2 linked regions of the Drosophila melanogaster genome follow. The protein of the gene in region 1 purifies or fractionates together with the protein of each later gene. This does not show direct contact. Each region holds a gene or a part of one and is shown on either strand. Other genes may lie near its edges.

Region 1 (3,753 bases):
TCCTGCAGGTCTGCAGATGATTTGCGTCGTGTGAGCTGTTTGTTTGGATTGCTAATGAAGTTTTGAAAGAATTTCTCCACATCCACTTTTAGAGAATTTCGACGCGAATGTGTCTTGCCATTGGAATTGTGAATATCCTCCTCTTTGCCCTCATCTTCGGGATTTGCGCAAATGGACATAACATTGGCCACCGGCAGTACCTTGTTCTCGGTCATTGGAGTATTGCAAACGCTGGTTCGTCCAATGAACTGCGGATAGGAATCGGTTTCGTCGAAATTTATTGATGCAATGCCAGACTCCGGTAGCTCTTTGCTCTGCATGCTTTTTATACGCAACGGCAGGTGGGTGGGTCGCATAGATTTGGGCCTGGCTGGTGGTAGCTGTTCAACTGCTCCCTGCTGCTCCGGGGCGTGCTCCTCCTCGGGTATATGGGTAAAAATGAGCGACTTGTCCCGCTTTATCTTACGCTTGGCATACTGAAACGGCATACCATTTTGGGTGAGCTGAGCTGTGTTCATCTGCAGGTTCTGGGCGCGCTGTGCCTCGCCAGCTAACTGGCGGTACTGCATATGCTCCAAATAAACCACCAGCATCTGAACGCCGTTGGGTATGTGGAACTCAGGATGGTTGGTCACTTGCTCGGCCGCAGTGCGGATGTGCAGAGGATCGGTGAGTACAAGATGCTTGGTCACCATATCGCTCAGTTGCGAGGCAACCACCCTAAAAGACAAGGTATTTGAATTTACAATTTGTTCAGACTTTAGCCGGATTAACTGACTTGTTGTGGTACAGAATCGCTCCGCCAAGTATTCCCTTTGTCTGCTGGCAACTTTGCAACGTTTGTATAGCCTCCAGGAATATATGACTGGCCGTCTGGAAGAGAATCTTGGTTATCTAGGTAATTCGGTTTGTTACTTTAACCACTCACCTTTGGCATTCGCAGCCTCGGCACATTTTGAAATGTATTTCCGTTGCGCTGCAGCATCGGCAGATATGTTTCAAAGATGTGGTACAGTTTCTCGCTGAGATTCCGGCGGTTCAGGGCGGGCGGTGCAGCATACTGGGCATACAATGTCTGGACGTCACGGTGGAAAAACTTGAGCAGGGAACTCAGCAGATCAGCACGATGTTCCAACAGTTGATCTCCAATATTTCGATCAGTGCCAATTGCCTGGAAAACAGAATACTCCATCGGATTAATAAAAGAAAAGTGAAATTATGTGATTCGATTTACCAGAATAAAACGACCGAATTCCTTCAGCACAAATTTTCCATTCTGCAGCGCCAGGATGCGGGGATTAAAGAAGCAATCCTTGAGGAAATACGACGTGCCCATAAGCTGACCACACAGAGCCACCTTCTGGGAGTCGGACACCCAGCTTGGATGGAAGTAGAGCACCGCCGATATGGGATCATCCGCCTCGTCTGTGAGACACTCTGTGTCGTAGACAAACACAATCATCGTCTCCCTGTAAATTTAATAAAGTTCAAGGGTTATTGTTATTGAGACTTTGAGACGGGGAAATATATTTTAGCTTAGTTTCTAATGTTAAGGAAAAGCTTTGGAGAAATTACGTTCAACTATTTTCCCTTGTAAAATGTGAGCTGAATCTTAAAACTTGTTCAAGAATTGATACAACAAGTGCTGTAGCAAAACCGGTATGCAAAAAAAACTTTACACAAATACAAATTGGATTTATGCAATCTCAATTTGTTTGACGTTGTTTAATGCAATTCATTGTAGATATTTGTGCACTGGAAACACAGTTTGAGTATGAAATGAGCAACCTTTCGGTGAGGATTGAGGTCTGCTGCTTCTGCTGCACCTTCTGCCATCGCTTGTGCTTGGTTTTGCGCCAATCCCGAAACATTGCTCCTGAAATCTAGTGGATTTCGGTGCTTCCAAGTCTAGCGCTGCATCGTGGCTCCTTATCACATTTAACGACCGACGATTCTGATAAGTCAACAAGCCAATAGCGCCGTACAATGCCAACTGTCTGATTTCGATGTGGCCCAGCTGCCTGATACGACCAACTGTGATACGAGAGCGTGATCAGAATTCCGCTCACGCCCAAGTGAACCAGCAGGTGAGAAGTGAGGTGAAAGCTTCCGAGTGTTTCCATCATTGCGGTTGAGCGGGTGGGTATACGAGCAACTATGCTCTCGTATAATGTATTCATCCATGTGGTGACCACTTCAATGACGAAGGTATCGATTCCAGTTTTAGAGTGTAACAAATTCGATTACCAATGCTATATTTTATAAAAAGCTCTCGGAGGCAAATGATTTTCAAATATCATTAATAAGATTTTATATATGTTTAACAACAGAGACCTTGTCTGTTTTATTGCGCGTAATACAATGTTTATTTAAACTATCATAACAACTCTATCCAGCAGCTGTTTTCAACACATTGGGTGGCAACTGTTGAATCTGGTTCACAGTATCCGATTGGCTAGATATGCTATACTTGGCCACATATCCATCGGGACCAGCTTTGTAGGTGACCAGCAGGTATTTCGAACCAGGAAAACGCTGGCTATAAGTACCCTTAACTTGAAGCACATCTGGCGCAATCTGTTCAACAATCTCATCCCGCGTTGAACCGTCGAGATCAATCCTACAATATGGAAGCCATTTGGTTGAGCTTACAGCATTATCTTAACTTCATTTTTTGTTTACCTCAGGGAATAATTATTCTCAGATGGCACTAGCACAACTCCATTATCGTTTATGGGCGGCACGAATTTGGTAACTGAAGTTGTGGGCGCCGAATTCACCAGACTTAGAAACAGAATCAAAAACACCTGTAGCAAATATTATACAACGATTGGCAGGCAAACTTATGAGAAAAACTCACTGAGCTTAACAATAGGTTAGCCATGATGATCTTTTGGCTTTTGGTTAGCGACTGATGTTTTTAGATAGCTGACAGCAAACAGCTAACAAATAAACAGCTAAACTTAAACCAAGTTCAAAACTGGAATCATTAATAAACACATTCAAAAATCGTTCTCCGCTTATAGTATAGCTATAAGATGTGATTTTTGAATACTGTCAACAGGGATTTACATAACATAACAATAAAACTTGCCACAGTGAATCATTGACCGAGTCACCTAATAAGTTGCTTTAATAGGGCTTAGCCAATTAACAATAATAAGTATAACAATTTGTTATAGTTAAGAAAGTCTAGCTAGTTTATTGATTTCTATAAACTAGTGAGTGATTATAAACTTACTTATTGTTACTTATAAATACAGAATTGGTTTAATATAAATTACGGCAAGTTGTGGTTTTAATGTTTTCTAAATATTCAGTCAAAATCCTATCCCGCTGCAGTTTTCAGAGCACCGGGACTGAGGAATAATGGTGTGTCAGGAGGCGGTGTTGGAGGACCCTTGCCGAAGCTGTATTTGGCAACATATCCATTCGGACCAGCCTCATAGGTGACAATAAGATTGGCATCCTGATCCTCGAAGGGCTGGTTAATCACACCTTTAACCTGCAGATGTCCGGCTTCATTCTGGCTCACGGATTCCTGGCGAATAGTGCCACCCGGATGTTCGATTCTACAGATTCAGAACTAACTAAGTAAAGGGAAGCTCTCTTCTGGACTTTGATTAGCTACCTGAGAAAGTATTCTTGATTGAGGGGCTCAAGTTGAAAGCCATTTGTGCGGATTTGCGGAACGATAGTTGGTGAAATTTGCGGTGCCGCGTTGACCGCAGTGAAGATGAAAATTGCCAACAG
Region 2 (3,753 bases), 2.8 Mb from region 1:
CGACCTGACAATGATGTTGGCCTGGAACGCTGAGGAGGCGGGCAAAATCATTGAGACGTACAAACAGTTCGAGAAGCGTCCGCCAGATTTGATCATGGAGCGAGTGGAGTCTAATCCACACCAGAAGGTACGCATGTTTACATTGCCAGTATCGCCACTGTAATGCAATATCCCAATGTCCATAGCTACTCGCTGCTCTCACCAACATCAAGCCGGTGAACAAGACTGATGCTGCCGCCTTGCTGCACACCTTTGGCAACCTGGGCAACATAATCAATGCCAGCGAGGAGCGACTCTCCCAGGTGATGGGACTGGGTCCCCGGAAGGCCAAGAAGCTGTACAAAACGTTGCAGGAACCGTTCCTCAGCAAATAGCAATCCATATTAGGTGTAATGCATCCCATAATCGTGTATGACACACTTCATCCATCATTTGAATACTTTAATTTTTTATTACGCAGACACTGTACAAAAATTAAGTTCCAGAATTACCCACTTAAATATATCAAACAATAATCCTTATGTTACTCGGTCACTTTCCAAATTTTAATGGTGCCATCATCGCTGCATGATATCAGTTGCCCGGCCACCACAGGATTCCACTGCACCGAGTTTACGTCCTGATCGTGAGCGCCTTCCTCCGCGGTTATCTGCTCGAACGTGGGTTCGTCTGGCTTGGAGTCGCTGCTCTCCTTAAAGATACGAATGCCGTCGTCGCCACAGGCAGTCGCTATCAGACCTGTAAGCTTGCACCAGGACACGTCGTAGATAGCCCGCGAGTGCTGCCCGGACACTGTGCACACGCACTTCCACACGGTTTGCTGGTCGGGCGTAGCCACTCCGGCTGTATTTCCGGGATGGTAGGCCCTCCAAATCTTTATTGTGGTGTCATCGCTACAGGAAACCAGGCGCTCGCCATCAGCATCGAAGTCAATGCCCCAAACCGTGCTTGTGTGTGAAGTAAGAGTGGCTGTGCAATCCCAGTCGTTGTCTATGGGCTCCTCTGCGAACATTTTTATGGTATTGTCGTACGAGGCGGAGGCCAAAATGTCCTTGGTTGGATGCCACACCACTCTCTTCACGTCCTGTGTGTGCGGGTTCAAAACGGCGGCGCACTCGAACTCATCATCGCCGGCAACCTCCCAGATCCACACGGACTTGTCCCGCGAACAGGTGGCCAGTAGTCCGCCGGATCGCGACCAGCTAACGCTCTTCACCTCGTTTTCGTGACCCTCCAATGTTGCGTTGCATTCGAATTCTCCCGAGGATTTCGACCAGATCGCCGTGGTGGCATCAAAGCTGGCCGAGGCCAAGTACTGACCGCATGGAGACCATCGGATCTCGCGAATAGTGCGCTTGTGGCCATCGGATAGGATGGTCTTTGTGCTCCAAGTGTTCCCGGTCAGCGACCAAATGCGGATGGCTTTGTCCTCGCCGCACGAGGCGAATACGTTGCCCTTAGGATGCCATGCCACTCCCCAGATGCGCCCCTTGTGGCCCTGCAGCGTGTGTTCCAGAATTAAACGTCCCATTGATGGTCAAGTGCTGTATTAGTGGACAAATCACTGTCTGTCCAAATAATGATAACATAAGCGCATGTCGCAAGAAGAAGAAAGTCAGCTGTCGTCAGTGTGGTCAAACGTCGGCAGAAGTCGTTCATCTAGCTTAATTTGTAAATCGGGATAAAATTAAATTTTAAAATTGTGTTCTTCATATCTAAGCAAAGCGATATTGCTTTGCAATAATAAAAAAATGCAATAAATTTGAAAATTCATATATTATAAATTATAAATTAATTTGATCAGGAAACTTATTACAGTTCAATACTTAGTAACTCAACTAAAAGCAATTTCAATTGGCAATTCGGATAAAAAAAGTCGAACGTATACTAGGCTTTTAATATATAATTCTGGCTTGAAAAGCGTTGAATTGCTCAGAGCTGAATCGCTCTAGTGTTGTTAAATGCTGACTTGAAGTCTTCACCTTTTCTTATCAGAACACACACCGAATTCCGTTACCCAGCACCAGTGACACTGGTGAAAGTTTTGTTGTGTATTTGGTGTTTTGCCAATGCTGATAAGAAAATGAACGGACTGATTGTGTTTAACAGCGCCAACGATGTTGTATACCAGAAGCTTAACGAGCCGCTGGCGCAGAAGATCCGGAGTGTGGCCACCACCCAGGGCCTGCTCCAGTCCGGCGGCTCCCTGGACAGCAACATACTGCTGCAGATTTTCAGCCCCATCGTTGGATCTCAGCGAATAATGCAGTGCCAGTTCGATAATGCCTACTCCAGCCTGCAGTGTGAGCAAGGCTTCAATTTGGTGTTCGGCGAACTTCTTGGCTTCACCTTTCTGAAGATCGGACAAATACCCGTGGAGCTGCTGGGTCGCCAAATGGGTGTGGCCATTACGCTGACGCGCTATTGTTACGGCGCCAATTTGTTTGCCGCCCAGGCGGGGGCCATGCAACAGGAGTTGCTGACGCAGTGCCTCGACTGCTATGAGACTTTGTTGTGGGAGGAGGATCAGACGTACCTGCTGGAGGCCATGCCCAGGCTGCTGATCAACACGGAACTAAAGAGGACAGTGCATCTGACGCTGGACGCCACGCTTGAGCACTTGCGCCAGCTCGGACTGCCCCGAGCCCACGCCCTGTTGCTCGTTTCCAACAAGCTGGTGGCCGCGAACAGCACTCGGCAAGCTCTGCCGCTTGCTGCCGCCGACCTACTCTTCCTCAGCCTCATGTCACGCGCCCTGCAAGCGCCAAAGTCCCCTTCCCAGCGAGCAGTAGCTGTATTCCTGCAGGGTGTCTCCTATGATGTGAACTCTGGCTGCGTTCCCAGTATCGTGCACATCTCGCGTCTCCATGGTAACCAAGTTCTCCTGCAGGTCATCGAGTACGCCCACATGCCACTGACCAGCTGCATCTACGATTCCTTCTTTGTGCTTCAAAAAATCGTGGCTGTTCAGCATCAGGGCGATTCGGATGCCCTGAAGCCCGCCTTCGAGAACCTCGAATCGTTTATTGTGCAGGCCTTGACCGCTTTGAAGCGATATCTGAAACAGCGATCGGAAACCGATGACCTAGAGAACTGCACGAAGAAGTTCGCCGCTAAATGGGAGAATCTTCGCAAGATGTACACTGAGTACTTCAAGAACTTTGAGCGGGAGCTGCTCGTGAGGATTGAGTCGAATTTGCCCTCGTTCGGAGAGGAACTGAAGCAGATATTCACACTGGCCTGCTGCGACAGCTCAAGTGTCCATGAGCTGGATCAACTCTCTGATACGGCAGCGAATGTGGAAGCCAAGCTACTGGAGTTCGCTGAATTTCTGGCCGTTAAGGCCACTCGTAACATATCCATTGATGCTTATTTGGAGGATTTTCCGGGTCTGGTGCACTTTATGTACGTCAATCGCAGCCGAGGACAAATGCTTGCTCCGGATCTGCGACCGAACCAGCTGGTGCCAAAGACAAAACTCTGGAGCATGGTGGAGATCGCGAGAAATTACCTTAAGAAGGGCCAGACCACAGTGATGTGGAAGGATAAGGCATTCCATTACTCGTACTTCCTCTGGTTCGAGGACATGTCTGGTGGCGTTCTTAGTACCGTCGTGGATTTGCAGCACCACTTTCTGTCCACAGGAGCAGCCAGTGGCAACGGTTCGAAATCCCCAACAGAACCAGGTGCTCTTACAATGGACTATTACCACGATCTGGCGGAGTTGTGCTTCCCCAAGCTGTCACCGGCCAA

The links. Proteins that work in one complex are often made in the same cells at the same time.
Region 2: the proteins of HPS4 (region 1) and HPS1 purify together in Drosophila melanogaster (affinity purification with western blotting; one study listed by BioGRID). This does not show direct contact.

What each region holds. Positions count from the first base shown.
Region 1 is NT_033778.4:17,684,974-17,688,726, reverse strand, and holds the start of HPS4 (Hermansky-Pudlak syndrome 4), read right to left. Parts: upstream 2,037-3,753; 5' UTR 1,872-2,036; coding exon 1,789-1,871; intron 1,470-1,788; coding exon 1,235-1,469; intron 1,172-1,234; coding exon 929-1,171; intron 874-928; coding exon 779-873; intron 721-778; coding exon 1-720. Other genes in the region: CG42562 (uncharacterized protein), read right to left, coding at 2,389-2,620, 2,683-2,807, 2,861-2,884; CG42561 (uncharacterized protein), read right to left, coding at 3,329-3,572, 3,632-3,753.
Region 2 is NT_033778.4:14,853,429-14,857,181, forward strand, and holds the start of HPS1 (Hermansky-Pudlak syndrome 1), read left to right. Parts: upstream 1-2,000; 5' UTR 2,001-2,083; coding exon 2,084-3,753. Other genes in the region: Ercc1, read left to right, coding at 1-127, 186-374; Ciao1, read right to left, coding at 524-1,531.